Linked DNA regions of Caenorhabditis elegans. The protein of the gene in region 1 interacts with the protein of each later gene in a pairwise test. Each region holds a gene or a part of one and is shown in the gene's direction. Other genes may lie near its edges.

The links.
Region 2: the proteins of sup-46 (region 1) and ech-8 interact in a two-hybrid assay, tested with the Caenorhabditis elegans proteins (one large-scale study listed by BioGRID).
Region 3: the proteins of sup-46 (region 1) and gst-15 interact in a two-hybrid assay, tested with the Caenorhabditis elegans proteins (one large-scale study listed by BioGRID).
Region 4: the proteins of sup-46 (region 1) and nova-1 interact in a two-hybrid assay, tested with the Caenorhabditis elegans proteins (one large-scale study listed by BioGRID).

What each region holds. Positions count from the first base shown.
Region 1 is NC_003279.8:10,167,298-10,175,935, reverse strand, and holds sup-46 (RRM domain-containing protein), read left to right. Parts: upstream 1-3,332; 5' UTR 3,333-3,368; coding exon 3,369-3,447; intron 3,448-3,526; coding exon 3,527-3,813; intron 3,814-3,880; coding exon 3,881-4,096; intron 4,097-4,811; coding exon 4,812-4,913; intron 4,914-4,961; coding exon 4,962-5,201; intron 5,202-5,568; coding exon 5,569-5,817; intron 5,818-5,870; coding exon 5,871-6,062; 3' UTR 6,063-6,297; downstream 6,298-8,638.
Region 2 is NC_003282.8:10,235,048-10,243,116, reverse strand, and holds ech-8 (Enoyl-CoA Hydratase), read left to right. Parts: upstream 1-3,940; 5' UTR 3,941-4,002; coding exon 4,003-4,065; intron 4,066-4,596; coding exon 4,597-4,752; intron 4,753-4,802; coding exon 4,803-4,946; intron 4,947-4,994; coding exon 4,995-5,114; intron 5,115-5,159; coding exon 5,160-5,586; intron 5,587-5,913; coding exon 5,914-6,035; intron 6,036-6,081; coding exon 6,082-6,179; intron 6,180-6,234; coding exon 6,235-6,418; 3' UTR 6,419-6,491; downstream 6,492-8,069. Other genes in the region: lipl-7 (Lipase), read left to right, coding at 1,313-1,399, 1,453-1,555, 1,836-2,203, 2,571-3,052, 3,101-3,212, 3,716-3,793; ech-9 (Enoyl-CoA Hydratase), read left to right, coding at 7,807-7,869, 7,914-8,069.
Region 3 is NC_003280.10:13,609,244-13,616,032, reverse strand, and holds gst-15 (glutathione transferase), read left to right. Parts: upstream 1-2,836; 5' UTR 2,837-2,889; coding exon 2,890-3,034; intron 3,035-3,705; coding exon 3,706-4,202; 3' UTR 4,203-4,263; downstream 4,264-6,789. Other genes in the region: gst-14 (glutathione transferase), read left to right, coding at 1-73, 689-1,182; gst-24 (glutathione transferase), read left to right, coding at 4,739-4,877, 5,063-5,553; gst-20 (glutathione transferase), read left to right, coding at 6,308-6,367.
Region 4 is NC_003283.11:18,077,362-18,085,521, reverse strand, and holds the start of nova-1 (K Homology domain-containing protein), read left to right. Parts: upstream 1-3,615; 5' UTR 3,616-3,691; coding exon 3,692-3,698; intron 3,699-5,481; exon of another isoform or gene 5,482-5,566; intron 5,567-7,265; exon of another isoform or gene 7,266-7,353; intron 7,354-8,061; coding exon 8,062-8,160. Other genes in the region: fbxa-106 (F-box domain-containing protein), read left to right, coding at 395-440, 2,051-2,138, 2,188-2,830, 2,876-3,064.

The sequences.
Region 1 (8,638 bases):
TTTCTAGACACAAATCGGGCACAATTGTGCCCGTTGGTACGAATACTTAATGAAAAATGTGCCATCTCAAATAAACCGAGCCTTTATAAATATATATTTGCAAATTGTGTGAGCCTTTTCCTATTTAAGCGGAGATGGCAGACGCTGAGGATGAAATATTCAAAAATTGTCCAGGATGTCATTCTGGAGCATTTAAATATTTTTGTAATTTTTAAGGATGTTAGTGTGGAATCTGAAGAGTTAATCTATATGGAAGGTGATGGAAGTTTGATTTAAAGTATCATAGCACCCGGGTTAAAAGAGTAGAGATTGAAAGAGCAAACTAGAGCAAGTGACCTAATTGAATTGAATTCAACGAGATAAAATGTGCGGAATGAGAGTGCGAGCCTATGTATGTGCACGGGCTCTTCGTCAGAAACGGGGGCAAACAATGGGGTTGAATATTTTGCCACCCCGTCTATCGTCCATCCTTCCTCTCCCGTCAGTCAGTTCGATGAAATGGAAAACGGGGGAGGAAAGGGGCGTGGCGGGAAAGGAAGGAAGGAAAGAAGAGGCTCATGCAATTTCCAAAATTGCGAGGAGTGCGGAGCCGGCGGCGGCGTGTGCTCCTCCAGCTCAAGAGAGGCTTTTAAGCTTCTCTGGGCGACGGAAGGAAAACACTGAGCGCGCGGGAAACGAGACGAGAACTTTGTAACCATTGACAAACATACACAAAAGAATGGACTTGGACTCTTGGAGCCATGCAGTTAAACCATAGAAACCACCGCATTGTCTTCTTATTTTCAAAGAGTAAGAAGGAAACTCATTCGACGGGAAACTAATTTAGTTGAGAAGAATACGACGCGGCGTCGAAGAAAAGGAAAAAAAAAGAAACGCGAAATTGAAAATGTTTGCTTCAAGAAAGGCATAAAATGAGTCAGAGTGTCACTCATATATTGCGTCTGAACATATAAAACCTGCCTAGCCATTATATGATGATAAGCCGGCGCCGTGTTAGTTTCGTAAAAACGTGCGAATCACTGTGTGCAGAGAGGGAGACAGAGAGGCAGAGAGTGGACTTTTTGGGAAGATGGATAAATTCGGAGAGTACAGTCTAGAGATGAAGATCATGCAAACATGATTTTATTTTGCAAACTATCCAATAGTTCAGCATTTATGCAAGTGTCACTTCTTTTTTCTTTAAAAAAAATACGAAAAAATACTTCAAAAATTTTGAAACAAAACTGTTTGCAACATTTTTTTTTCGAAATTTCAAACTTTTCGGAAATTACCGCCTAGCCTTGTTTAAATTAACTAGGACCAGTGGACAAAACGACCACTTCGACAAATCTTGTTTGCTTTGATCTTCTTTTTTTGCAAACCGAAACTACAGTCACTATAGTTGTACTTTGTAGACATCTAGAACGTTTCCGAGCAAAATACAATAGAAACAATAGCAAAACAAACATATAGTCTTCTCAATCAGGGCACTAGGTCTATTTTCATAAACATATATAATCATATGACTGAAATAAAATTGGAATTTCGATGTCTTGTTGTAGAAACTTCACGCTAAATTTGAAACAGGGGGAAAACAAATCTGTTGACCGAAGAGATGAGTGGAACACAAATCTATTCAATAAATAAACCTACACTGGTTAAAGATGAAAAATTAAAAGTTCGAGTTATAGATCGAAATAAAAGGTGATTTCTGGTATTTCTCACTTCCCGGGCGTAAAAGGTCATAAAAGACCTTTGCCCTTCTCAACCTAGTGCGAATTGTTCTCTTGACGGCGGCAATAAACGGCAGGTAGTTTTGCATTTAAAATGAAACGAGGCACGATTTTTGTCGTTAACATAAGACCAAGATTTCAGTTCTATCAATAATAAAATCTAGTGTAAGGAATAAAAGTGAGGGAAATGACGGCGATTGGGAAAAGACTAACTAGTTCCATGCGATTACTGTTCGACATGGTAGAAGGCGTCGGCTTTTAAATGTATATACGATTTGATATTCGTATGGTGAAACCTAGAGGAATAGAAGGGAGAGACATGGTCATCGGCGGGAAAAGAGAAAGAATAGGGAAAACACGTCATGAAGTGTATATGATAAGACATTTGGGACGATTGGAGCAATATCAGAAACTTTATATGGACGTTAGTCATTTGGAATGTGACTTGTGAACGATAGTTTGAAATGTTGGTGTTGAATCACCTATTCTATAAACATTTTGAATATTTTTGGACAGCTAGCGCATGAATTGTGAAAAAAAAACAAAAACGCGTTGTTATAGAACTTGAAGCAAAACTAAATTGTACAATTATTAATAATTTTTAGTGTGAAATTGAGAATAAATCTGTCATGCGGAGGCAAAACAAAACGAGAGGCAGCTTATCTCACAAAAAACGTTTTCTATTCTTTCTCCGAAATTTGACACTGAATTCAGTTCATAAAAATCCTATTGACAATTAACGAACAAAATTATTTTTAGGGAAACATGGAAGAAACAATTGAAGAATAAAATAAATTATAGAATAGAGTGTTTCAAAGAGAACAGAGATCTTGTTTCACAGAACCATGCTATCGAAAATGAAAAAAAAATCGTAAAAGATCCAGAATACTGGCTTAGCAGCAAAGAAAAAGCCTTCACTTTTCGCGGCGATTTGTGGCGTCAAATCTGATGTCGGCTGTGCGGCTCGTCTCGACGCACAAATGCACACTTGTGTTTGCCGCCGTCTCTTCTTTTCGAATTTCGATTTTTCTCTCTTTTATCGTATTTATTTTTCTTTATTTTCTTCGTTAAATCAAACGTTTTTTTGTTTTAAAATTTGCTAAATGGTTCTCGCGGCTTAAATATGCATTATCAGTCGGAAAATCTCCAAGATGTTTCAGAGAATTGCTCCGATAGATAAATTTCGAAATTGTTCCTCTTTTTGAAAACTTAATTTTCGGTTCGGGAATTTTAAGAGAGTTTAGAGCATTCTAGTCTTTCTGTAAGATATCAAGTCAAATTTTGCTCGAGTGGCCTATTTGTAAGTAAAGAAGCAAATAAGGTGCGATCACAAAACTTTTTACTCATCTGTGCATAAGTTTTCGATCATTGTTGTAACATAGTTTTTCAATTCGATGTCAAATCAAGTATTACATTGGCGAGACAGTTCAGTAAATAATCTTTTATCTCTTTCAACAATAAAAATGGGCCACTCAGCGAGCAGATTATTTTAGTTACAATTAATTTTCGACTTGTTAGCAATCAAAATGGAAATAAAATTTCAATTGTTTTTTAAAGAAGCCCGTTGTTATATGAAAACATTTGCTTATCGTCTAATTGATTCTAGTTCAACTCATTCAGAAAGCTTAATCCAAGATCCGTGTTCCATCAGCCAACATGAACAGAAATCGTCGAGACGGACCACAGCGTGATGTTAAGCGAGAGCGTCGGAGCCGATCCAGAAGTCCAAGAAGAAGTATAGTTTTTGATATTCTTCATTCCCGTTTCCACCATTTTTTCCATAGAAATCCTTCTCTATTTTCCATTTCCTTAAGGTCGTATCGGCGCTGCTGTTGGAAGTAACAATGGGAACTCATCATCGAACAACCGAATGGTTTTTATCACCAATATCGCCTATGAGGCTCGTTGGGTCGATTTGAAAAGTCTAGTTCGCGAGAAAGGAGGTGAAGTCGCTTTCTGCGAGTTGCTCGAAGACCGTAACGGCAAGCCAAAGGGTAACGCTGTGGTTGAGTTCGAAACTCGTGAGGGTGCCGAAAAATGCGTTGAGAATCTACAAAAGTTCGACTGGAAGGGAAGAACCATCATCGCCAAAGAAATTCGGGTCCGTATCTATTTAATTTTGACACTCACATTCAGAAATTTTCATCCATTTTTTATTTTTTCTGTAGGATCCGAATGCTTTCTTCCGAACCATCAAAACTGAAACAGGCATTGATTACTTGTCTCGTACCGGAGGTGGTGGTGCAGGAGGACGAGGTCCTCCACCAAAAGATCTTGATCGCCCTACTCGAACTGGAACTTATGATTTATTCGGTCTCAATATGGAATTCCTTCGCCAACACAACATTGAACCGCCACTCTGTGAGCGCATCTTCATCGCCAATGTAGGTTTCAAATATTCTTCTTCTCGAAGGGCTCCACATCTAGACCACGTTCACTTGCTGGGTCTTTATCTCAGTTTTGAGATATGAAATTATTCGAATGGGAGAAATAAATGCAATTTTTCATTTTGGTGTTTTTAAACGGAATAGTAGTAGGAAGCTTTCTACGTGGAATTATATACAACAAAATGGAATCAGTGCTTATTATAGTTTGTTCAGACAGTTGCATCCTCCGGGTAGATCTCTCAGTATCATACGAATAAAATATAGCATCACTAATTCAGTTACTAAATACCATTCTTAGTTCCCAATCAGAGGTGGTTGGCAATTATTTTCGGAAATGCTACAAAATGACCTATTGCGACATGTTTTTTTCAAAAGTTTTCATCAAAAATTAGTCTGAAAATGTAGATAATCACTTGATTTATCTGAAAATTAAAAAAAAATTATCTCGTTTTAAACATTTGGAAAAGTGCGCGAAAATGACCAAAAGTTGCCATTTGCCGAGAAACGATAATTCAACAATTTGATGATCGGCAATTTGCAACATCCTGGTATTTTTGAAGCGCTTTTCCAAGTGTTTTATCTGAAATAAGTGTTATTTTCAGATTTAAAAAAGTGATTTTCTATATTTAACATGGCGAAATATGTCATTTTATAGAATTTCCGAAATTCCACTTCTGTTTCCAAGACAATATTATTAATCAAACATTTTCAGTTGGCTTTCAATGTCGGAACCGATAAGCTTTACGAAGTCTTCGGTATGGCCGGTAAAATCACCTGGATGGACTTCCGCATTGATAAAGAAGGAAAGTCAAAGGTTTGTTAATATTTATAGTTCCTATAAAATATAAATGGTGTCTTCCAGGGAGTATGCGTAATTCAATACACTCACCCAATTGAAGCCGTACAAGCCGTTTCGATGCTCAATGGTCAGCGACTTTTTGATCGAAATCTGGTTGTGAAAATGGATAGATTCGATAAGGAACTGGAGCACAAAGAAGGTGGACTTCCACGAGGTCTTGAGTCAATCGGAATGGGTCTTGGAGCAGAAGGAGCACCACTTTCCAATGTTCATGGAATGTTCCCAGGAGATGCTTCAGTGCCGGTAAGCGATTTAAAACAAATTTCATCGGTGTGGTATATACTAGCATTCAATGGTGGTTTTAGATTTTTTTAAATCGAAAAATTAATTTTTTTTAAACAGAAATTTTCGGGTTTCCAACATTTTGATTTTTCGAAAAATGGCCTTTTATAAGAAAACGATATGTTTTCTTATGTTTTTCCCCATCAACAATCTGAAAACTTAATACAAAAATGGGTTTTTATATTCCAATTTGCTAAACATGTTTTTCGATTTTCAGAACAAACGGAACTTTCTCTGAAAAAAGCACAAAAAATGTTCGATGAAACTCTTGATAACAAATACTCAATTATAAAATTTTTAAAAGTTAATTTAATTATCTATATTTCAGTTCACAGCTCCAGCTGCCCCATTCGTAGGTGGACCACAAGTTGTTTCGGCTGGTGGTTTTGGAGGAGTCGTTGAACAAGCCAACTTTGCCCGATCCGTCATGAACAATGGACCATTTGGAGGAAATGCTGGTGTTGGTGGTGCTGGTGGAGCCACATTTGCTCAACCTGACGTCTTTGGTGTCAATGGAGCTGGTGGACTCGCCGGTGCTGCGACACCCCAGGCAACAAGGGTTATTATCATTCGCAACGTAAGTTTTCAATTCAAATTTCAATTTGTTCTCATTTATGATCTGTTATTCAGCTTCCAAGCGATTATACCTGGCAAATTGTCCGTGACCGTGTTCGAAACTTCGGAGAAGTCGACTCTGTTGATATGATGGCGCCAGGAGCTGCTCGCATTCGTTTTGCAACTTTCCAAGACGCTGAACGTGCTCGTGCTGCCCTCTATGGATCCACTGTCGAAGGCCGCATGATCAGCGTTGACTACGCCTAATTCATTCCCCCTGTTATATTTGTATTTGAAACTTCTCACGTTTCTCTTGAATCATCATCTATTATCTTTATTTTATCCGTTTTTTCTCCATCTCTATCCTTCCTTATCCCTTTAAAAAGGCTTCCTTGTCAACGGAATCTCAATAATTTAAAACATCTTCCTCATTTTCATCACTCTAAAACTATTTCTCATATTTTCCTCTGGCAGGATGGTGACAAATAAAAGTTTTAATAATAAATGACGTGACAAGTGTGTCTTCAGATGAGCGCCGCACAATTTGAGGTGCTATTCAGAAGACAATTTAGCATGTGTGTCCCGCATCAAACAAGAGCTTCACGCAATCTGATTTGCGCGCGACAACTGCTGCTCAAACGTTTTACCGTATGCCCTTAATTGCGTTTTGAAGACGTCTCTCTCCTTCATGAGCAAAAGATAGTCACGCCCATGAAGAATCCTTTGTTGCTGAGAAAACGATGATGAGCATTGTGTGTGTCTATTTGTATGCTCACAACTTTCTTTCGTTTGTCTATGTTTTCATTTTTGACGCCTTTCTCTGGATTACGGTACCTTGAGGCTTTTGGAGAAGGATTCTGAATTCTGCTTTATAACGAGTACTGTTATATCAATTTTTTTAAAAATTAATTGTTTTTATTTCAAAACCGGCAATAAAAAATTTTGGCACCAAAAATACCGTTCCTGGTCTCGTCACGACAATTTTTTGTTAAATACAAACGGGTGTGCGCCTCAAAGAGTACTGTAGTTTCAAAATTTTAGATATATCCGTTAAAACAGTACTCACTTAAAGGCGCGCGCCCGTTTGTAATTTACAAAAATTATCGTGTCGAGACCGGGTACAGTATTTTTGGCGTAAAAATCGCATTTTAAATAGTTTCCAACGTAACATCCGTAACAATATCTTCAATTTTTGCCACGTGGCGAAACTTCCAAACAAACCGTGGTTCGATTGCGAAAACATGGAAACTCCCTGCTTCAAATGTAACAACAAATTTTTTTTTCAAATAAAAATCACGAAGGTTCCCATGTCAATTCGAATTGCGCAACTTATTGCAAATGTGTTCACATCTACCGTATCCAATTTCAAATCTTCAATTAAAGTATCAGTTGCCATAGATTTCAACTGTTTCACCCCCAAAAAAAAGTTTAGTTTGTAGTTTTTAGATTTGAATTGCCACGTCACACACATAATCTCCTCTTCCAAATGTTTTTGGATTTTATGAAAACATTATACTTTATTGATATCTTTCTGTTCACACAACTAATACGACTTCTGCTACAGTGACTTCTTTTACTTTTGGACAATTTGATTTGAAATTTTTTGTTTTTTGGAGTTTTCAGAGTTGAAAATGGGTCTAACATGAAAAGAGATTGAGCTTACTGTTGGACTTCCAGACTTATTTCAGTTAAATCAAGTTTTCATAAATGGATTACTACAAAACATTGAGTGTAAAGGTGCATTGTGAACTCAAAAAAAGGTGAAAATGAAAGTTACATAATTTCTAAAAAAAAATTTAGTTGTTCAAAAATTCAAAAAATCCCTATTAAACTTCATTCGAAAATGTTCTCAATTGTGCACATTATCATCTCAATAAACATCCAAAAATACTCCATAATGAGATCATTGTACTTTCAAATCTGATCACTTTACAGTCACCAAATGAGTCTCTCGACTCATGGCTCATAAAGTACATCTGTCCTTTTGTGAAATTCAAATAATGAGAAGAATTCACAGTTTTTTATTCGGGATGCATCTGCTCTTTGTGGGCGGGCTTCTTTTGGAACAATGGGCGGAGCCAATTGAGTGTGACCGAGCTGTGAGAATTTCCGCTCATCAGACATTTTTTCAAACTAATTTTTTTGATATTGCATAATATATATATAGTTTGTAAATAAAAGAACTCCCGTTTAGTTTCCATATCTCGTTTTAAACCTGGAATCCTTACTTTTTGATTGTAGGATATAGAGCCCATAGACCCATTTAAACGTTTTTATGTCTTGAACCAAAGTATAGTTCTCTGAACATTTATTAAAATATTTACTTTTTATTTTTCTTATTTGGGTTTTCGCCAGCCAAAAGTTAATTTTAAATTATTTTAACATAAAAGTTCATTTATGCGATTCCTCAATGATTTGATCTAATGCGTCATGAAAAGTGCAAATTACTCTTTTCTTCTTTATCTCTCTCTATCTAATTTTTAAAAAATCCCAAAGGTATTTCTTTTCTCAGAATAAACATTTCGTAATCATGCACGCTCTTTGCTCATGCACATATCAACTAATGCATAGTCTAGTCCAAGTTTCCAACTTTTCACATAATGAAAATCGTGGGAGAAAATTTGGAAAAAATGCAAATCCCATTAAGGTGTCTCTACGTTTCTAAATTCAAGTTTTACTTTTTTGCAAAACAAACAATTTTCTGAAATTATTTCAGAAGTTTCAAAAAATATTCAAAACATTTGTTAGCGTGGGAGTTGCTGGAGATTTCTGGGTTTTTCTTTAAATACAAAATTTTTCCAAACTTGGACAACATGTCACTTTGAATTTTTTTTTTCTAGAAC
Region 2 (8,069 bases), on another chromosome or scaffold:
CAGATGTTCTGAAGGAAATTTTCATTAAAATGGAGATCCAATGACTACAAAATATACCAGTATATGAAAACAGTGACAATTCTCGATCGTTGCGCACAAAAAAGAATGTTTACCGACTAAAACAGCGGCGCTCTCGAGCGCTCTCTGATTTCTCACAAAAAAAATGATGAAAACTTTCGCGGCCATTGTGTTTTCTAGGCCCCGCGTTTGAAACTTTTTGGCGCCAAGGTGGAATCTCGAGAAAGTATCGATATCGGTATTTAAAATATGAGCTAACTTATTGTGCGTGGGGAAAGAAAATATGCTCTTAATAGGGAATTTATTGAGAAAAAAAGTTACGAAAATCTGTTAAAGAAATGCGGAAAATAAAGAAAATAAAAATTGGGGTTAAGTAAGTAAAAGAACCCGAATGAGCGTTCTCGCCTCCGGCGAGATATGCAGAGAAAGGAAATCAGAAACCACGCGCTGTCGCAAATTGGGTCAAGATCAATTCTTCCATATTTGATCTACCGAAGTTTGTAGGTCTAGAAGTGGTCTAGAAATTCTGATAATGTGTAGAAACGAATAATCGGGATTTCTGGAAAGAAAAATGCTAGTATTTTTAATTAAATTGTTATAATAAAAAGAGATGCAAAAATCGAACTTATTATATTTTGTCCTAAAAATTTTAAATCCCAAAAAAGTTACAGCATAGAGTGCAATTTTATGATTCACTATTTTCAGTCATTAATTTAAACAAGTACCACATAAAACTTAGCATAAAATAATTGTTCATTGTTAACTTGAGTACTCAAATATCACGTGGTGTCAGAATGTCCCATTTCGTTGTGATCTACAAAAAATGCGGGAGTTTAGACGTAGAGTTCTCAACTGATTTTGAATGGTTAAGAACGTGCTGACGTCACATTTTTTTGGGGAAAAAATTCCCGCATTTCTTGGAGATCAAACCGTTACAACCTGACACCACGTGAAATATAAGTATGAGGGAGTGTGCCAAGCAAGGGTTACTGTAGCTATCGTCATAAATATTAAAACCTAAATGCCATTTTAAAAAACCTAAAATGTGAATAGTTTTACATGTACATTTACAATATCTAGATTGAAGATGAATTTTAAAATAGAAAACGCGAAATTTGTTCATTTGGTGTTTTAATCTATTAAAAATACTTCACTTGTAATTGAAAAGTACCTAATCCTTGACCCCAACATATGTTATTGACATGTCCAAGGTGGTAATTGTTACAACAGGTGTGACCCAACACTCATCCTGTTGCTCTGCCATATAACCTCTCCTCCCAAGGTTTTTTGATTCATGTCAAAAATCGATTTATTTTTGATTTTACTCTCATTTTCTATAAATTTAAGTCTAGCTATTGACGATGAATGTTACATGACTGTGGTAAGATTTTGAGAAAAATTATTTTATTAATCTCAGAACAAATTTTTTTGTAGCCAGAAATAGGAAAACACTTTGGGTATGAATCAGAAGTACATTTAGTGAGAACAACGGATGAGTATATTCTGGAACTTCACAGAATCCCATGTAAACAAAATGGTAAGTCTGTCATTTTAGTTAAAAATGTGACATTTGAAAATTAAATTTATTTCGTAAACGGAAACTTCAAAATGAAGTATCGGCAGTAGAGATTTTGTACAAGTTTTCTCATTGATTTTTAACATGGCCGATTAAACAAAATGAATAATTTCAGATTTCTCTTTGTTCCAGTATTGGTAAATTTCCAAACTGTCAACAAAAAAAAGAAGTTTTTGAATAATTTAATATACATTGAATTTTGCTGTGAATTACCTTTGATATCATCTCTAATATTTTTCAGAAAAATGTGACAGAAGCTCAAAACGTCCAATAGTATTCATGCAACACGGCCTCCTTGCGGACGGATTCTCTTGGATTCCGAATCTAGCAAATCAATCGGCTGGTTTTGTTTTCGCCGATGCAGGTTTTGATATTTGGATTGCAAATAGCCGTGGAACTCCTGCATCACAAAAACATATTGGCTATGGACCGGAAAATCAGAAATTTTGGAATTTCACGTGGCAACAAATGTCGGAATTTGATTTGACAGCGAGTGTGGATTTGGTATTGAAGGAGACAAAACAAGAGTTTTTATATTATTTGGGACACTCACAAGGAACTATGATTATGTTCTCAAGACTTGCAGAAAATCCAGAATTTGCAAAGAAGGTATTTCAATTTATTGCTAGACACAGAGAATTTTAAAACAAATCTAATTCGTTTCTAATTATAATTAGTCAGACAGTTTTTCGGCACCCGTGCGATGAAGGATGTATTTGACATGTTTTTGTATGACTACTCGTATTATGGGGTATTGTAGTTACAAACAGTACATTTTGTTGTGACTACTTATGTAGTTGCCGTAATCCAACATTTGTTTCTCAAGCTCATGCTTTGCACAAAATTGAAAATCACGATCAGTATATATTTATAGTTTCTGTATGCTAACAAACATTTTCTTTGTAGAAAGTTACATACGATCAGTTAATATGCTTTTAGTCTTTCTTTACCTCCTCAAAAGCAACAATAATTTAAGATTCGTCATTTCCATGCATTGGCTCCAGTTGCAACAGTATCCCATATCGGTGGTCTATTTGGATTGTTTGGGACAAAGTTTCTAACTTATGCAGAAATCTTGCTCGGTCGACTTCCATACTCTCCACTGTCAATTCCGCGAACTGTTCAAAAAATGATAAGTTACATGTGCAGCAGATTCTTTATGCAAAATATTTGTACATTGGACATCGGTTTCATTGATGGAAATGAGAAAATGTTCAATCAATCAAGAGTTGGTGTATATCTTTGTCATACACCTGCAGCCACTTCTGTAAAAGATTTGCAACACTGGATTCAACTTGTCAAATCACAGACTGTTTCTAAGTTTGATTATGGAACTGATGGAAATATCATTGAATACGGGCAACCTACTCCTCCGGAATATGATTTGACACAGATCAACACACCAACTTATCTCTATTGGAGTCGTGACGACATTTTGGCTGATACTCAAGATATTCGGTTAATCAATTATATTAGTTTTGATGTAACTAAATGAATGATTTGTAGAGACTCGATTCTGTCAAAAATGAATAAAACAATCGCTGGATCACTGGAACTTCCACACTACAGTCATATGGATTTTGTATTCGGTACGCATGCTGCATTTGATTTATATCCGGTAAGTCTGAAATCAAATTTCCTACTGAATAATATCTTTTCATTAACGTTAGACCGCGCATCTGTAATATTTACACTTTGTCAAATTTTGGTAAAACCTTTTGATTTGGTTTTGATCAGGCCTTGGTAAAGACTTCATGTGTGCGTTCTGGAAGGTTAAAAAAAATGAAAGTTGGTGGGTCAGACTTAGGTCACCTCATATTTGAAATCTGTAACACGTTCCGAGCAAAGTTTGACCAATTTCTGGCCAAGGTGTATTCAAAATGTGGTCACTCTTTCTAGACATTGAACAGAAAACATTTGAAAAGGAACGGCTTCTGCAGAAATTCTCTCTAACATAAATTAATAGAGTTCCAAAATATTTCAATTCCTTATTTTCCCACTTTTTCGTTTTTGAGCAATGGTCCAAATTTTCCAAAATGCCGGGTTTGGTTGTTCTTAATGTTATATTCTTATTTTTGAAATTACATAATAAGGAGTTATTTAAAAACAAATTTATTCCAGAAAATCATCGAAACTATCCAAGATGACTACAACAAATATCGAATCACTCGGATGCACAAATTGAAGAAACATTTATGATTTTTCATCGATTTTTTTTCAAAAATAAATAAAACCGTGTTTTATTGTTGTTTTAATGGCCAAAATGTACCTATAGGCTACAATGTTCTTCTTATCAATTGATCGCTAACGTGGGACACATCTGGCATATATCAATGCAATTTCTTTAGATCTTTTAATTCGTTACAATTGGTTTTATTTTGAAATTTAGATTTTTGAAATTCAGAAAAATGGATAAAGTGCCACAAGCAGTGAGGGACTATTTGATGGAGGCTCATCAATTGGCGGCTCAGGTAACTTTGAAAACTAAAATAATAAAGTTTTTTGAATGAGAAATTAGTTATTTTCCGCTTTTCCGTATCCGTGGGCACTCTGTAGATTTGTGAATTGTTTGTTTTTGGTATTTTTCAGTGAGGGAAGACCACTTTTCGGCAGAATTTTGAATTGAGCAATGGTAGAAATCACTAAAACGATATCGTTTATAGTATATAGAGAACAGAAAATAGCTGAAGTTACAGATTTCGATTTCATTGATAATATAAAATATTAGTTCATCCGGCAAACATCGGAATAATATTTTTTTAAAGTATTTTTCAAATATCGAAGAGCACGACTATATGATTCAATGGCAAAATTCTAAGTTGTGGTGAAAAATAATAATAAACAAGAAAATCCCTTGATTAGTCAGTTGCCAAAATTTTTGAAGAACTTGCTCGAGAAAAACGCGCATTTTTACACTTTGCAAAGTTTTTCAGCATTCAGCTTTAACAATATCTGAAAATCACAATTTTTTTACATCAGAATATGAAAATTGATCATTTCAGTGGTCTCTTCCAAATGATCGCGGTGACTACATAAATTCGAAATCAATTCCAATCAAATCAGTGGCTGTAATTGGAGGTGGAACCATGGGAAGAGGAATTGCAATCGCATTTTGTTTATCAGGATTTGAGACGTATCTTGTCGAAGTTAACAATAAGGTAGCCATAAAGTTTAAAAATAATATCAATTCAGTTAAACTTGTTTGCAGGCTGCCGAATTCTGTAAAAATGAATTGGAAATCACTTACAAAAGGGAAAAAGCATTTCGAAGACTGAACGATTCAAAAGTTGAAAAATTGAGAAAAAATCTACAGATAACTACAGATTTTCAAAAGCTAAATAATTGTGATTTGGTGAGTTTTTGTTTTTATTTTCAAAAGAAAAAAAAAGAAAAATTTCAGATTGTAGAAGCCGTTTTTGAAGATATGAAACTGAAAAAGGAACTTTTCACTAAACTTGATAAAATTTGCAAACCATCATGTATTTTTGGAACCAACACATCAAGTTTAGATTTGAATGAGGTACGCTTTAAGTTAACTATTCCAAAAGAACATGTTCACTTTCAGATGTCATCAGTACTTAGAGATCCAACAAAAGTAGTTGGAATTCATTTTTTCAATCCGGCAAATTTGATTCGAATGGTTGAAGTGATCTACGGATCGAAAACTTCCTCCAAAGCAGTTGCTACAGCTTTTGAAGCATGTAGATCTATCAAAAAGCTACCAGTTCTTGTGGGAAACTGTCCAGCATTTGTATTTAACCGGCTACTTGGAGTTTATCTGAATCAGAGTCAAAAGTTGATGTATGAATACGGATATCTTCCTCATCAAATTGATAAAATCATTACAAACTTTGGATTCCTAATGGGTCCTTTAACAGTAGCTGATATGAATGGATTAGATGTAATGGAAAAGTTGAAAAAGGAGAATGGATGGCCAGCAAGTGATTTTGAAAAGGAAGTTTGGAGACAAAAGAGATACGGTAGAAAAACAAGTACGTCTTTAAATAAATTGTGAAATGAACTGAGAAACGGATAATTTCAATTTCTTTGGAGTATCACCAGCGGCAAATAGTTATACATAGGTTAAAAAACAAATACCTTCGCTCCGGCTATAAGAAAAGTTTGAAATATTTGACAAGCTGAAGTCTGAAATTTTTAAAATATTTTTTCAGTGGTAATGATAAGTGCCAATCAAAATTTTGAACGTTCCAGAAGGAAAACCGGAAATTATTGTTTTCAATTTATTTTTTCAAAATGAAGATTTTCAAAACTGTCACGAAAAGCCCAATATTTTTTACCAATTTAGGTGTAATTTTCAGATAAGGGATACTACAAATATGATCCAAATACTCACAAAAAGGAGAATGATATAGAAATGGAGCAGCTCATTCGAAAATTTTCTTCAGCTGCAAGTCCAAATATACAAATTTTGAACGATCAGGTACTCACTTTCTAATTTCATTCAAATTCAACCGAAAACTTACCAGGATGCCGTCAATTTCCTCTTGTATCCCATGGTCAACGAAGGTCTTTTGTGCATTGAGGAAGGAATCATCCATCATGAAAGTTTGATCGATATCATGTTGTAAGTAAAACTTAATTTCAAAAAAAAATTAAAATTATGAGCACAATTGTTTCAGCATTCTCGGGTTTGGATGGCCTGTTGCTACTGGTGGTCCGATGAGATTTGGATGGCTTCAAGGAATTGAAAAAGTTGCGAGCACAATTATTCTCTGGAATTCTTTAGAACCAAATGATAGAACATACAAAGTTGCGGCCACGTTGCAAAATGTGGACAGGAAGAATTTTGCAGCGAAATTATAAATTTTGTAGTTCGTTACCATGTTCAAAGAGATGATTATTGTAAAAACATAAATAAATACCCTGTATACAATTGATCTACTATGTACAAGAAATGACATGCTGGGGATTATAAATTTTGTCGAAAGTTTGATGCAAATCAATCTGCAAGACCAATTGCCCATCTCTAATTCTGAAAATTAAAATGTCTTCTGTATTTTTTTGGATAAACCCCGTGAGGTGCACAAATAATAATTATAAAAATAAAAGTACGGTACATTTAGCGAAAAACGGATCTTGAGACATTCAATTGTACACTTATCATTATTATCAGTAACATGGATTTTGTGGGCGTTTTTCGTATTTCAACCGGACAAGCACTGTCATATGAAATCAACCCTTACTCTTAGACATTTGAGCTTGAAAATTGATAAGAAAGTGGAAGTAAATGTTGCCTTACAGAATCACAAAAATCAACATAAAGACTGCCTTGCTGAAATGACGTTTTGTATTAAAAAATATTACTGATTGTGTTGGGATTAAAAATTTGATATCAAAACGAAAAATACTTGGTAAATAGGTAGAACACACATTTTTTCAAGAAAAAAGTGTTTCCTCTGGTGCTCGATATGACCGACAATAAACTTCAAATTTTTAGCTGTACTCTGTAGGGCACAATAATTATATTTAAAAATTTCAGTTCAAGCCAACTTCTGTACAAAATCCACCTTTAAAAAATTTCAGACAACACTTTGTTGAGCCCTACCAGAGATACGCGTCCATCTGCATTATTTTTCAAAAAAGTTGGCGATAGTTTTTTGTTCGGATATCGTAATAATCTCACGATATGCTGCGCTATGAAAATTGGATGTTTTTCAAAGTATCAAAACAAGTTATAGCCTAACATCTTAATTTAGTAAACAACTCCAAATAAATCACATATGTATGTACATATACAGATAAGAAACAATAAACTATACACAGAAATATTCACAAGGCACATGTTTGCACTTGATTTTTGAATTATCTAGATCTAGACGGAATTTCGTGTTTTACTCTTAAACAAAGACGACAGTGTACTGAAAGCACCAAAGTCTCATCAGCTCTTATCATCAATGAATCAACAAACAGACAGTGACAACATCGACTAGATCATTTTCTGTCCGGGAACTTCACGGACGAAATGTCGGGACAAAATCCTCTTTGTTATCACTAACGAAATATTTGGAAAAGTGGGCAGTAAAAACGTGATATATTACAAATGAAAAGTACCTATAAAAGGGTGGTCTGAAAACTCTGAAAAAATATTAACTGTATCGTGTTTAAATTTTTCAAACATTTTTTAAACTTGTATAAACAATGTTGTTCAGCCGATTAAATTTTTATACTCCAGAATTGAAAACAATCAAAAAATGGGCAAAGTTCCAGAAGAAGTCAGAAGCTATTTGATGGAAGCTCATTCCTTGGCGGGACAGGTGATTTCATTTCCAATTAAATTATTTGAATTGTATACTTCCAGTGGTCTCTGCCAAATGATCGAGGTGATCACACGAATTCTGAAGCTTATGATGTAAATTCCGTAGCAATTATTGGCGGTGGAACTATGGGAAAGGCAATGGCAATCTGCTTTGGTTTAGCTGGAATTGAAACTTTTTTGGTAGTACGAAATGAGCAG
Region 3 (6,789 bases), on another chromosome or scaffold:
CATCTTGCCGGAGTTCCGTTTGAGGATGAACGGGTGAACTTTTTGGATGACACCTGGGAGAAGATGAAAGGCAGTGAGTTTGGGCAAAGTGGTAGGGTAGTGCAGGGGTGAGCGGCAATATTTGCCAAATTTGCTGGTAACCTAGCGCGGTAAATTTATCAAATTTTCCGTTTCCCAAGCTCGGCAAATTTGTTGAATATGCCCGACTCGCCGAGCTCGTCAAGTCTACCATATTTGCCGTTTTTCATGCTCGGCAAACTTGCCGAATTTGACATTTACCGAGTTCGGCAAATTTGCCGAATTTACTGTTTAGAAAGTTCGTAAAATTTTCCGAATTTGCCGAGCTTGGCAAGTTTTGAAATTTGCCGCACACCACAAAAATCGGCAGTTTGCCGGTTTTTTAAAAACAGTTTCGCCGATTGAAATCGAAATTATGAAATTTCCGAAAACAAATGTGCAAAACCACAATTTGCCGAAAAAATGTAGAATCGACAATGTGCCGGTTTGCCGATTTGCCCGAAATTTTCAAATTCGCCGGAAATTTTCGATTCCGAAAATTTGCCGATTTGTCGGAAATTTGAAATTCCGGCATTTTGTCTATTTGCCGGAAATTTTAAATTCCGACAATTTGCCGGTTTGCCGACTTGCCGGAATATGTCGCCCACCCCTGCTATATATCGAATTCCAGAAACCCCAATGGGACAATTGCCTGTCCTCACCGTCGATGACTTCGAAATCCCACAATCTGCTGCCATAAATCGCTACCTTGCTAGAAAATTCGGGTTCGCTGGAAAAACTCCAGAGGAAGAAGCTTGGGTAGACGCCGTCGTCGATCAATTCAAAGATTTCTTTGCGGAATTCAGAAAACTAGTCATTGCAAAACGAGTCGGAAAATCTGCTGAAGAACTGGAAAAGTTAACGGCTGAAGTTATAAAACCTGCTATGGATGTGTACTTCAAAGTTCTCAATGGCCTACTGGAAAAGAGCAAGTCAGGATATCTGATCGGAGATTCAATCACCTTCGCGGATCTTTATATCGCTGACAACATTCAAACACTGAAAAAATATGGGCTCCTAGAAGCTTCTGGAGAGCAACCAAAACTAGCAGCTCATCTCGAAAAAGTGTATTCCCACCCCAATCTGAAGAGCTATATCGCAAGTCGTCCAGTAACGGAGATCTAATTTTTAATCTTACTAACATGTTTTCCATATTCAAAAACAAAATAAAGAAGTTTCCTTTGACAACCAGAAACTTCATTAATGTTGACTGCCGCCGAAATGTCCTTGTCAATACTCTCTCACGTGGGGGGGGGGGGGGGGGGTAAACAAGAAAATGTGATGTTTGGTGAACAGAAAGGGTAGGGGAGAATAACAAAATAAAAACGAAGGAGGTTTTCTAAAGAATGATTGTTCTGGATTTTTTTTTGTTGGTTTTTTACAATTCATTTTTATTTTTATACTTATGCCAAGTTGAATTAAAGATGGAGCAGAGTTTCTGAAGTTTGCATATATTAATTACCTATTTTCAACAAATTTAGACGGCATTTTATTTTTGCCCAATTTTTTTCAGCCATCTAAGGACTGTCCTTTTTTTGGGCAAAAAAAATTTCTCTGAAACCGTTCGAAACTACTGGAAATTGAAAAAGGGCAATTTTTTAGTGTTTGCAGATCAATTTTGAGTCCTCTATCTATAAAATTGACCATTTTAGAGGAGTTTCAAAATTGTGATTTTTTGCCATAAATTGCCCATTTTTGCCACGTTATAGTTTTTGATGGGTTAAACATAGATTTTCTGAATTCAGCATACACGAATTACCCGTTTTCAACAAATTTAGCCAAAAATTTTTTTGCCCAATTTTTTTAAAGCCATCTAATGACTGTCCTTTTTTTTGGGCAAAAAAAAAGATTTTTCTTAAAACGTTTGGAACCACTGGAAATTGAAAAAGGGCAATTTTTTAGTGTTTGTAGATCAATTTTGAGTTCTCTAACTAAATTCAAAATGAACCATTTTAGAGGAGTTTTAAAATTTGTGATTTTTTACAATAAATTGCCCAAACAATATGTTTTTAAAAAAATTTTTAATGATTTTTTTTTTCAATTTTTCAAAAATCAAAGAAATGCCCAAATTATATTTGAATTCTCGCGCAAATGAGTGACGTCATTTTTGGCTAAATTTATGCGTTTTTTTTTAAAATTTTCTTCTATATTTGATTTAAAACACAAATTCGGCAATTGTTTTTCAAATTGAAAACTTTTTTCCGTAACATGGAAGAAATTGGTCTAAAAAACGGAAATTTAATATTTCTTTATATTTTTTTTGTTTTAGAAAATTGAATGTTTGAAAAATTGACAAACGGCGATTTAAATCAAATGTAGAAGACATATCAAGAAACCCCTCCAAAATTAGCCAGAAAAAGCGAAAATGCATAGAATGACGTCACTCATTCGCGCGGGAATTCAAATTTAATTCGGACGTTTTTTTTTTCAAATGGAAAAAAATTATTAAAAATTTAGAAAATTTTTAAAATTTTTTGACAGTTATATTTGGTTATTACGACCTATTTTCTGTGACTTAAACCCAAAAAAAATTTGAAAAAGCTCTTCTTCTCTTTTCAAAGTGGGGTTTTTTTCGAAACGTGTCCTGCAAAAAAATGTAAATTTCCAAAAAATCGTTTTTATTTCTCTTATTTTTCTTTTATTTTGAAATTTTAAATTTTGTGCTCTTTTTTATCACAATGCTCAAAGACCACCGATTTCCAATTCCCATATTATATTTTTGCTTAGAGACGTAAGCCTCAAATAAATAGACTTAGACTGTTAGAGACCTCGCTTTTTCCACTCAATTTTGTCGATTTTCGAATCCACCTTTTTCAATCTTCCAGAAATAAAATGCCACAATACAAGCTAACATATTTTGATCTACGTGGATGGGCTGAGCCGGCTCGACAGCTTTTCCATCTCTCGCATACTCCATACGATGATATTCGGATTCCAATGGCCGATACTGAAGGGAAATGGGAGAAAATGAGAGACAGTAAGTTCTTAAAGTGAAATGTGTTGCTTGTAGTTTGTAGTTTGTAGTTTGTAGTTACTGATGCCACACTTAATTTGAAAAAGTTTGAACTAAAAAACATTAAATTTCTTGGCTTTCGGGGAAAAATCTTTTTGTAGTTTGTAGTTTGTAGTTCGTAGTTTGTAGTCTGTAGTTTGTAGTTTTTAATTTGTAGTTTGTAGTTTGTAGGTGCTAGTTTGTAGTTTGTAAAAGGTTTTTTGGTACGAAAGTATTTTGAAAAATTAATTTTTGTCAAAAAAATAGTTTGTTACTTGTAGTCCGTAATTCGTATTATGTAGAATATAGGTTGTAGTTTGTAGTCTGCAGATTGTAGTTTGTAGTTTGTATATTGTAGTTTGTAGTTTGTAGCTTGTAGAAAGGATTAGATATTTCTGTTTTTTTTTCGTATAAATAGAAAGTCACTACATCCAGCTTTAGGGTTTCATAAGATCTTCAGGCGTACGCGCCTACTTTTTGCCTGCCTGCCTACGTGCTCTCCATTGTGACTTCTTGTTTAGCGCAGATTTCAAATATTTGTGTTAAGTATAAAATGTTCGATTACAAACTGAGAGTATGAACACACGATGGCAGACGTAGGCATGTAGGCAAGCGTGCCTACAAAGAAGACCTGCCATAATTAATTCAACTTCCAGAAACCCCATTTGGTCAGCTCCCAGTACTCAACGTTGATGGCTTCGACATCCCCCAATCTGCTGCAATTTGTCGATACCTTGCCAAGAAATTTGGTTATGCCGGAAAAACTCCAGAAGAAGAAGCGTGGGCGGACGCCGTTGTCGACCAATTCAAAGACTTCTCCGTTGCTTTTAAAACACTCCTTTTTGCCACAAGGGCCGGGAAACCAGAAGAAGAAATCCTCAAAATCCGCTACGAGATTTTCAATCCAGCTCGAGATGTCTACTTTATTCTTCTCAATCGAATTCTCAAAAAGAGCAAGTCAGGTTATTTAGTTGGTGATGGGCTCACATGGGCTGATCTAGTTATAGCTGATAATTTGCACAGTCTGGAGAAGCTTCGAGCCATCGATGATGATGATGAAGGACATCAGAATTTGAAAAAGTATAAGGAGAAAATCTATGGAACCCCAGATTTGGAGGATCATATTGCGACGAGAATGGATACAGAAGTCTAAATTTTGAATCGCGTTGAATTTTTAAAAACTGTGATAAAAGATAATAAACATATTGTAGTATTTTATGCGGATATTTTTTTACCGAAATACTTTTTTTTGAAATAATAGTGCGAGAAGTGCAACAGGGCTCCATATGATTTTTCAGTACTTTTGAATTTTTGAAAAAAACAGCTTTTGATGTATTTTCTGAACTTTTTAAAATAATCTTCCGTACAAGTTAGCAAATTTTATTTAATATTTTTTGGTATATTTTATCATGCTAAACAGTTTTATAAAAGAAAAATGAAGCACTTCATATGATTTTTCAGTACTTTTGAATTTTTGAAAAAAAAACAGCTTTTGATGCATTTTCTGAATTTTTCAAAAATTTTTCCAATTTTCTGACTTTTTGTTTTGTGACCAGTGTTTCTTCGCAAAAACACAAACCACTCTTCTATTTCTCTATTTCTCTCACTCTCCCTCCCCTCAATTTCGGAGATTTTCGAAACGACTTTGTGTATATAAAGTACTACTCAATCATCTCCCATCAACAAACAATGCCACAATACAAGCTCTACTATTTCAACCTTCGTGGATGGGCTGAGCCGGCTCGGCAGCTCTTCAAGCTGGCTCACGTCGAGTTTGAGGATGTTCGTATTGAGAATGGAACTCCAGAGTGGGGAGCGTTGAAGCCAAGTGAGTTTTTGAAACATTTTTAGTGGTATTTGTATAACTGTCACGGATTTTGAGAATTTTTTAAAAATCAGATACGGTGGTCCACTCTAAGCCTAAGCCTATGCCTCGGCCTATGACTATACCTAAGCCTAAGCGAAAGCCTAAACCTAAGCCTAAGTCTGAATCCCAACCCAGGAATCTTCCAGAAACCCCATTTGGTCAGCTCCCATTCCTCTCAGTCGATGGCTTCGAAATCCCCCAATCCGCTGCAATTCTCCGCTACCTTGCCAAAAAATTCGGCTACGCTGGAAAAACATCAGAGGAAGAAGCGTGGGTGGATGCAATCGTAGATCAATTCAAAGACTTCGTCACCCCACTACGCCAACTCATCATGGCTCAAAGATCCGGAAATGCGGAGGAAATCGAGCGAATCCAAAAGGAGGTCTTCGCGCCGGCCCGGGATACATTCTTCAAAATTCTTAATGGAATTCTTGAGAAGAGCAAGTCAGGATTCCTAGTCGGAGATGGTGTAACTTGGGCTGATCTGGTGATAGCTGATATTTTGACAACTATGGAGATGCTGGGAGTGTTTGATAAGCACGGAGAGGAGCAGAAGCTTGCAGCGCTCCGTGAGAAGGTTAATGAGATACCGGAGATCAAGGAGCACAACTCGTCGAGACCAGATTCTGTTGTTTGATATATTATGTGTATGTTAATAAAGATTATTATATCATAATGAGTGATTCTAAGGTAGGTAGGCACGCTTTCAGGCTGCCTACCACCTAAAAAAGATGGTTTTGACAGTAGGCAGTAGATCAAACGTATGTCTGTTAGAAGGCAAGTTATCTAGGCACGAGGCAGGTGTAGTTTGCCTTGAAGGCAAGCGGGCAGTCTGTGGCCTACGTAAAGGGTCTAACATAGACAGTAGGCATGGGTGTAGGCACAAAGAAGGCGTAAGTCACACCTGGGGAGTTTGCGATCAAAAGAAACATCCTGCCGTCAAATAAACCTATGCCTGGCTGCATGCCTTCCATACAAGCCTGACTAAATGCCTGCAAGGTAACCTATGTTTATCTGCATACCTACAAGACTGCCTATGCCTGCCTGCAAGCCTATGAAACTTTTGAACTTTTCGACAGAGATCATTCTAGAAATCCCATATTTTCGAACAAAAAAGTCATGTTTGTCATCATTTTTCCTACAAAAGACCATGAATCGTCGCCGCCATATCCAATTACAAATAAATCGAATTATCTTCTGAGATCAATATCAAGATGGCAGTGACCTCCCCGCCGCCATCGCATAAACCACGTTGTTTCCCCCCGTCGGGAAAAGAGAAAAGAGACGGAGACACGTGGCATGGGAAGTATAAAAGGGCGGACAGGGGGACACTGGCAGACGACTATCAGTTGTGTGTTGACTGTCTGTGATTGTGCTTGCTCTTTTGTACGATGGCCGAGTACAAGTTCTATTATTTTAACGGACGAGGATTGGGAGATGTTTCTAGACAGGTTAGTGTGGTGGCCTAGAAAATTGAATTGGTGGCCGAGTTTTTTCTAAAACTCGGTAACGTAGCAAATCACGGCACGATCAGCACGAAAATGTTATTTTTACGATTTTTCGACATTTTCAACGTGGCCTAGAAATCAAGGAAACTCGGCCACTTGTCCAAAGTGAGTACGTTTTTTTTTGTTGAAAATCCGCAACCTAGGAAGTTTTTCGGCTAAAACCATGACATAGAATACTGCTGGCCGAATTTTAGCTTTTTCTAGGCCACTTTGCTTCCAGGCCACCACGTGGTGTCAGGCTGTCCTATTACGGTTTGATCTACAATAAATGTGGGAATAAATTTTTTTTGCCCAAAAAAATGTGACGTTAGCACGTTCTTAACCATTAAAAATGCGTCCAAATTCCCGCGATTCTCGTAGATCTG
Region 4 (8,160 bases), on another chromosome or scaffold:
TTAACGTTTAAAGTGCGATTTTTTTGCTAATTTCTGCTGAAAAATAGAGTGTTATAACAAAATGTTTCTTTTCGTATGATTTTTCTCTTATTCTTTTCAATTTTCTGGCAATTTCCCTTGGTAAGAACATTTTCGCCAGAAAAATGACCGATAATTTGGAAGAAAAAATGAATTCGTTGAAAATGTAAGAATTTTACGGTTTAAATTGCCACATCTACTGATAAATTGAGTGGACTGAAATTATGAGAATTTGACGGATTTTCAGTGAATTTAACTAAGAAAAAATACACTTTCTCGAATTCAAACCTAAAACTTTTTTTTCAGCTCCAACACGGCCTCTCTTCATTTCAAAAAATAAATCAAATTGACGTGATGAACTTTCTCTGTGTCTCTCATGGGCGAGAGAGTGAGCTTTTTGAGCCGAATTTGTACTGAAAACGGTAAAATAGGCCGGAAACGGCTGATAGTGAACAAAATCTAATAAAAATTTACTAACTGCCTGATCAAACACATAGAAATTATATGAAAAAGGGCAAAATTGTAAATCACCTATGAATACGCCCACATGTGAAAGTTCAAAATTAGTGATTTTCCAGACAAAACTGATTAAAGCCGGCGATTCGCTGATAAATCTTTAAGTTTTTTATTAATATATTGTCAATTAAGACTAAGTGTATCTATTTTTATGCAAATATCTAGGTTAGTGATGTTCACGACGCCGGCAGACGGAAAAACAAAAGGCTACCTCAAAAAATGGATTTTTTCGGGACCTCTAGTGATCCTTGAAAAGAGAAATTTGAAAATTGAAGGCCACCATTTTGTAGATAATTTTTTTCTGATTATTTTCTGTTTTTGATGAAGGTTTTTTGATGAAAATTGACGTCGGCATCTTCAAAACAAGAATTAGGCCTGAAAACTCCAAAAATCGTTAAAAAACGACAATTTTTGGCGGGTTTTCCTAATTTTACGAGACGCACCAAGACATAATCAAAAATTCAACCTCACCAAAAGTTGCAAAATTCTCTAAGGAAGAGATTAAGATGTCAATCACCTGATTTGATCAAAAACTGATTGAGTAACTTCAGTTTTAAGACAATGCGATTGTAATTTTTGGACAACCGCAAGCATAATAGTTGATGTGAACGCTTTTGAAAACATATAACTCGGTAACCAGAAAAGCTATCAAGAAACTTTGAACTACAAAAATAATCTTGATAACACAAGAAACATTTTCTATGTTCATAATACTTGGCTATTCTCACAAAATACATAGTTTAAGCTATGTAAAGATTCAATGCTTTGAAAAACTTTGATAGAGATACCACGAAGGTATTCGAAATTATCCGTTTGCACAATCATCTCAAAGAAGCAAAAAATAACAAAGTCTGGATTAGTACCGTCTGATACCTTTTTCATATGTCACTTTTTGTTTTTCCCGTACGGGATCCCGTCTTTACAGTCGGCAACCGACTGAAACCGAGGCCACCAATGAATAACTCAGCTTGTGAACCCTGCCGGGAAAGTCTCATCAGTTTTCCATCAGTGTACGACAAAAAATATACCGTATTTCCTCTATTAGTCTTGCAGCTTCTATTAGTCTTGCACCCCTATTAGTATTGCACCCCTACGGACCAATCGAAAATCAGTCATGCGGACTCTATTAGTCTTGCACCCCTACGGGTCAATTGAAAATTAGTCTTGCATTCAAGACTAATAGAGGAAATACGGTAATTGGGTACGATAGGAATACGGTAGGTTTATAAGTTATGTAAGTTTCTACAAATGTAACTACTTCAGTTTCTCTGTACCAAACTTTGAAGAATTTTTTATTACTTTAAAGATCACTGAAATAGTGAGCCGTTGTCTACGAGATCAAATATGTCCGAAAATTACCATTTGGTATCGGTCCTAACAAATCAGTATTTATACCAAAGTTGTTTCTTCGTCAATATTTTGAATTTAATTTAAAAACACATATATTATTCAATTTTCAATCTCACGTGAGAGAGTGTGAGAGAAAAAGAGGAATTTTGAAATAAATGAAATTGAGAGAGGCCGTGCTCCAAGGCTCCATCGATGTCGAATTTGCCATTGGACGTCATTCATAAAATTGTGGAAAAGGTTGAACCAATCGAACGGTATAATCAGAACTAGTTTTTGGAGGATTAATTAAATTGAAAATTTCAGGCTTTCTGTCCGTAAAGTCTGCCGCAACTTTCGTGCAATCGTCGATAATAAGGATCCTGGAATCAAGCGCGTTGTACTTAACATCCATCACTCTCAATTCCAGATGTGGCTGCTTGACGCAAAATCTACTGTAATTCACTATGATTTCAGTCATTCGCATTGCACAGTAAACTACAATGATCGGAATGAGCGCTTTAAAGGAGTGAACGGCTTGAAAATGGCTGAGACAGACTTGTCAGTGGTGATGAAGAACTCGAAACTTCAATTGGAAGTCCTTGAATTCCAAGGATATGATCGTATTCAAAAGAAGGAAACATTTATGAATTGGTTCAAAGAAATGTCCGATTCAAAAAACCTCTACAAGGTAAAAAGAATCGACTTTTCCATTAATCTTCCAACTTTTGCCGCAACAATTTTTCCGCTTCTTCAACCAGGATTTCTAGAAGAAATTTGCATTTACTGCAGCGGGAATCCAGATTACGTCGATCAATTATTTGAAATGGAGCAATGGAAAAGAGCCAAGTCGATTTTTATTGATTCATATGGAGAGAAGCATTTCCCAATTGAAAATCTCTTCCATCTTACCCACTTCTTCATTGATACGGCGTATCTTTCTGTCGCTGATGCTGTTAAAATCAGAGATGTTAGTTTTTTAATGTTCCTTCAAAAAAATTGTCATTTTTTCCAGATTCTCTTGAAATCGACTGTTTTTGAGTCTGGAATCATCACTTCTAGAAATATCTTCAGCGTTGGAGTTGTGCGAGTTTTCAATCCAAATTTCATTGCTAGAAGACCTTTTCGCGTTGACTATGACAATGGCTCTCACTTCAGCCTCTTATACGATCATATTTCTATCAAAATCGAAAAGAAGAAATAAATTAAACTGTTGTTCACTCGTGTGGTTCTCATTAAAATAAACTGTTTTGTTGAAATCTGTTTTTTTTCTTGTTAAATTACAATTTTGAGACATTTTTGTATTAAATTGCAAACCTTGTTGAAAAGTGGAGATTTTCCCGAAAATTTGCTGGAAATTGTGAGAAAAACTATAAGTGAAAAATTGAAATTTATTAGATTTTTTAACTAATTTGCATGGAAATGCATGGATAACCGGTGCAAATTATACAAAACCTCAAGTATTCACGATTTTCTTTTTTTGAGAAAATGATTTTTTGTTTCAATATAGATGAAAAATTGAATTTCAACCCGGAATATTGAGAGTTTCGACGATTTTCTCTCAAGTTTCACGATTTCTAACCAATTTTTGACTCTAAAATTCAGGAAATTTCATTAAAAATCAATAATTTTGAAAACATTTTAAATTAACTTCAATTTAAAAACCGGACTACGGTACACAACTCCGCAAACACCGCACGGCGTGTTCTGTCTACCGTAGTACGGCGCAATAAAAAAAAATAAATTTTTTTCCAATTTTCGAACTTTTCACCCAATTTTCGGCGCTTTTTTGCTGATTTTCGACGAAAAACTGAAGGAATTAACAAGCGCAATGGAAGGTTCGTGCTTTTTCAACTTGAAAAAGGTAAAATTCGAAAAAAAAAATACCTCTTAGGATTCAATTTTTCCATTAATTCCGCAATTTTTCCATCCTAAATTGATATTTCTCACAGAATTGTTTGATTTGTCTTATTTTCCGGCAAAATAATGTTTGAATTCGATAAAAATCGGAAAAATTCGGCTGAAAATGGTGGAATTTACGCCAAAATCCAGATTTTTCGACTTTTCAGCAAGTTTTTGGGTAAAACTACGCCGTTTTGACGAAAATTGCAAGAAAATTGACTTAAAATTTGACTGTATAATTTATGAGTTAAAATTTAAATTCTACTGGTTTTCCGGTAAAATTGCAGTTTTTATTGTTACAAAAGTTCTAAAAAACTGAATTTTGCCTTAAAAAACCCGTTTTTCTGGAATTTTTTGCTGAAAAAATTGAAAAATTGCTTTAAATCTCGTTTTTAAATCAATTTTTCTGTCAAAATCTAACGAAATCTCTCAAATTTTCGATTGGTCTGCTAGCGTTTTTTGTAGTTTGTAGTCTAGCAGATTAAATTTCTGAGATTGGGTCTGCCAGACTACAAATTACAAAATGTATTTAGCAGACCCATCACTTTTTCGACTAAATTTTGCGTTTTCAGGTGAAATTAAGCAGATTTAAAGGAAAAAACTCAGTTTTTCACAGAAAACCGACAAAAAATATGAATTTTTCGTATTTTCAGAGTTTTTTCGGCGAAAATTGTGATTTTATGCATAATTCTCTGTGAAAATTGATTTTTTAAGTCAATTTTCGTGAATTTTCACATTAAAATGTCGAGAAAATGCACATTTTGAGATATTTCCCGCAAAAAAATCAGGAAAAAATGCTCAAAATTGGCGATTTTTACCAAGTTTTATGGTCTGCCAGACTACAAACTACACAAAATGTATTTAGCAGACCCAAAAAAAAACATTTTTCGCGAATTTTTTTGATTTTTTTCTTGCATTTTTGATCAATTAGCATTAAAATTCACTAATTTTCCTCCCCAATTCCAGAAAAACCGGTTTTTCTGGAATTTTTTGCTGAAAAAATTAAAAAATTACTTTAAATCTCGTTTTTAAATCAATTTTTCTGTCAAAATCTAACGAAATCTCTCAAATTTTCGATTGGTCTGCTAGCGTTTTTTGTAGTTTGTAGTCTAGCAGACCCGAGTGGGTCTGCTAGACTACAAACTACAAAACGTATTTGGCAGACCCATAGTTTTTTCGACTAAATGTTGCGTTTTCATGTGAAAATACGCAGATTTAGACGGAAAAAACTCGGTTTCCCATAGAAAAATATGAATTTTTCGTTTTCTTAGACGGTTTTTTGGCGAAAATTGTGATTTTACTCATATTTCTCTGTAAAAATCGATTTTTGAGTCAATTTTCGTGAATTTTCATATTCAAATTGCGAGAAAATTCAAAATTTGAATTTTTCCAGCGAAAAAATCAGGAAAACTGCCCAAAATCACAGCGAAATTGACGATTTTTACCTAGTTTTATGGTCTGCCAGACTACAAACTACACAAAATGTATTTAGCAGACCCAAAAAAAAAATTTTCGCGAATTTTTTTTATTTTTTCTTGTATTTTTGACCAATTAGCATTAAAATTCACTAATTTTCCTCCCCAATTCCAGAAAAGCCGGTTTTTCTGGAATTTTTTGAAAAAAATTTGAAAAATTGCTTTAAACCTCGTTTTTAAATCATTTTCCTCTCAAAATCTGACGAAAATCTCTCAATTTTTCGATTGGTATGCTAGCGTTTTTTGTAGTTTGTAGTCTAGCAGACCAAATTTCTGAGAGTAGGTCTGCTAGACTACAAACTACAAAATGTATTTAGCAGACCCATATTTTTTTCGACGAAATTTTGCGTTTTAGGTGAATATAAGCAGATTTAGACGGAAAAAACTCGGTTTCCCATAGAAAAATATGCATTTTTTTTAAACGGTTTTTTGGCGAAAAATTGTGATTTTATGCGTAATTCTGTGTGAAAATTGATTTTTTAAGGCAATAATCGTTAATTTTTCCTGAAAAATTCCGCGAAAATGCAAGATTTGAATTTTTTTCCCGCGAAAAAATCAGAAATCTGCTCAAAATAACAGCAAAATTGACGATTTTTACCAAGTTTTATGGTCTGCCAGACTACAAACTACAAAAATTGTATTTAGCAGACCCAAAATCCATTTTTTTTTCGCGAATTTTTGGATTTTTTCATGCATTTTTTATTAATCAGCATTAAAATTCGCTAATTTTCTCCCACATTTAGGAAAAAATCGATTTTTTTTTGCCAAATTGCCCCGCTCTCGCCGTTCTTTTTGGCCATCTGCTCTCCGAATAACACTTGGCATGCTGCCAAGTGTCCCACCAACAAATCCCATCGATTTTCGATGTTGGCGAGGGACAAAAAGTGACGACGATTAGAGAGCATTGAGAGCTGAGAGAGACGAGAGAAAACATGGAACCTCTCGTTGTCTGCCGTCTCTTCATCTCATCATTGTGTCCGTCAACTGACTCATTTCTTCGTATTTACGCGCTCTTTTTTCGAAGGAGGACGCGTTCCGTTTTTTTTTTTGGTTTCGTACAAATTTTTGGTTTTTTACGCGATTTTCTCGAAATTGCGTGTGAAAATTTGCAAAAAATTCGATTTTTCGTTTCAAAATCGAGCTTTCCTTCTAAATTATCAAATATAATCGTAAAATCGGTTTTTCTCTACGATTTTTCTTCAAAAGCTGAATTTTTTGCTGAAAAGTGGGTTGAAAATCACGAAAATTGCAAATTTTAACGCTGATCAATAAAAAATGCAAGAAAAATGGATTCTGGGTCTGCTAAATACATTTTGTGTAGTATGTAGTCTGGCAGACCATAAAACTTGGTAAAAATCGCCAGTTTTGCTGTAATTTTGAGCAGTTTTCCTGATGATTTTTTCGCGGGAATAATGCAAACATTTGCATTTTCTCGGAATTTTTAAGGAAAAATGCACGAAAATTGACTCACAAAATCAATTTTCACAGAGAATTTTGCATAAAATCACAATTTTCGCCAAAATACCATCTGAAAATCCGAAAGTTTACACATGTTTAGTTTTTTACACGATTTTCTCGGAGTTTTGTGCGAAAATTTGCAAAAAATACGAATTTTTCGTTCAAAAATCGAGCTTTCCTTCTAAATTATCAAATATAATCGTAAAATCGGTTTTTCTCTACGGTTTTCCTTTAAAAACTGCAAGTTTTGCTGAAAAATCCGTTGAAAACTGCGAAATTTAACTCTAGAGCGTGTAGTTTGTAGTCTAGCAGACCCAAATCGAGCGCATGGGTCTGCCAGACTACAAACTACATTTTCAATCGATTTTTCCGGATTTTTAGGTTTTAAATGTGATTTTCTCGGTGTTTCTTGTTGAAATTCGTGAATTTTCGGGAAAATTTCCTGAAAAGTCAGAATTTTTGCCGGGAAAAGCGAGTGTGCACTCTAAAAATTCAATTAAAACTCAGATTCCCCAATTTTCGCAAAAAAGGAGTTTTTTCTTTAGAGAAACTGCAAATTCCCCTCAAAATCCCTTCAAAAGTACGAAAATTAGCTCTACAGCGTGTAGTTTGTAGTCTAGCAGACCCAAATCGAGCGCATGGGTCTGCCAGACTACAAACTACACATAAAACTAGTTAAATAAAAACGTCAATTTTGCTGTAATTTTGAGCAGTTTTCCTGAAAAATCTCAAAATTTGCATTTCCTCACAATTTGAAAGTGAAAATTCTCGAAAAATTACTCAAAAAATCGATTTTCACACGGAAATTATTGGAGTTAGCCACAAAACTATGCATAAAACCACAATTTTTCTGTGGAAAACGGGGTTTTTCCCTGAAAATCTGCTCATTTTCACCTAAAAACGCAAAATTCAGTCGGAAAAAATGATGGTCTGCTAAATACATTTTGTAGTTTGTAGCCTAGCAGACCAATTTGGTCTGCCACACTACAAACTACATATTTTGCAAAAATTTGCGGTTTTTTCAGTGATTTTCTACCGTTTTTCCTCAATTAAAAAAAAATTCCTTTGAAGTAATATAAATTTCTCAAAAAAATCAATTTTTAGTTGTAGTTTGTAGTCTAGCAGACCCAAATGGTCTGCCACACTACAAACTACATATTTTGCAGTTTTTCGGGGATTTTGCATACGAAAACCAAGAATGTTCAACTTATCCACATTTTTCTCGAATGTTTTCAATAAAAAATAGGACAATTTTTGCTCTGAAATTCAATTTTTAGTTGTAGTTTGTAGTCTGGCAGACCAATTTGAATGTTTTTGCTCGTTTTTTCTGGATTTTTCCCAATTTTTTCCCTTTTTTTTTTTGCAGAAATAATGGCTGAGGAGTTCACCGAAGACTCAAAAACGCAACAAGGCGTAAAACGGACTCAAGACGCTTCAGATGGTCCAGCTAACAAGAAAGCTCATT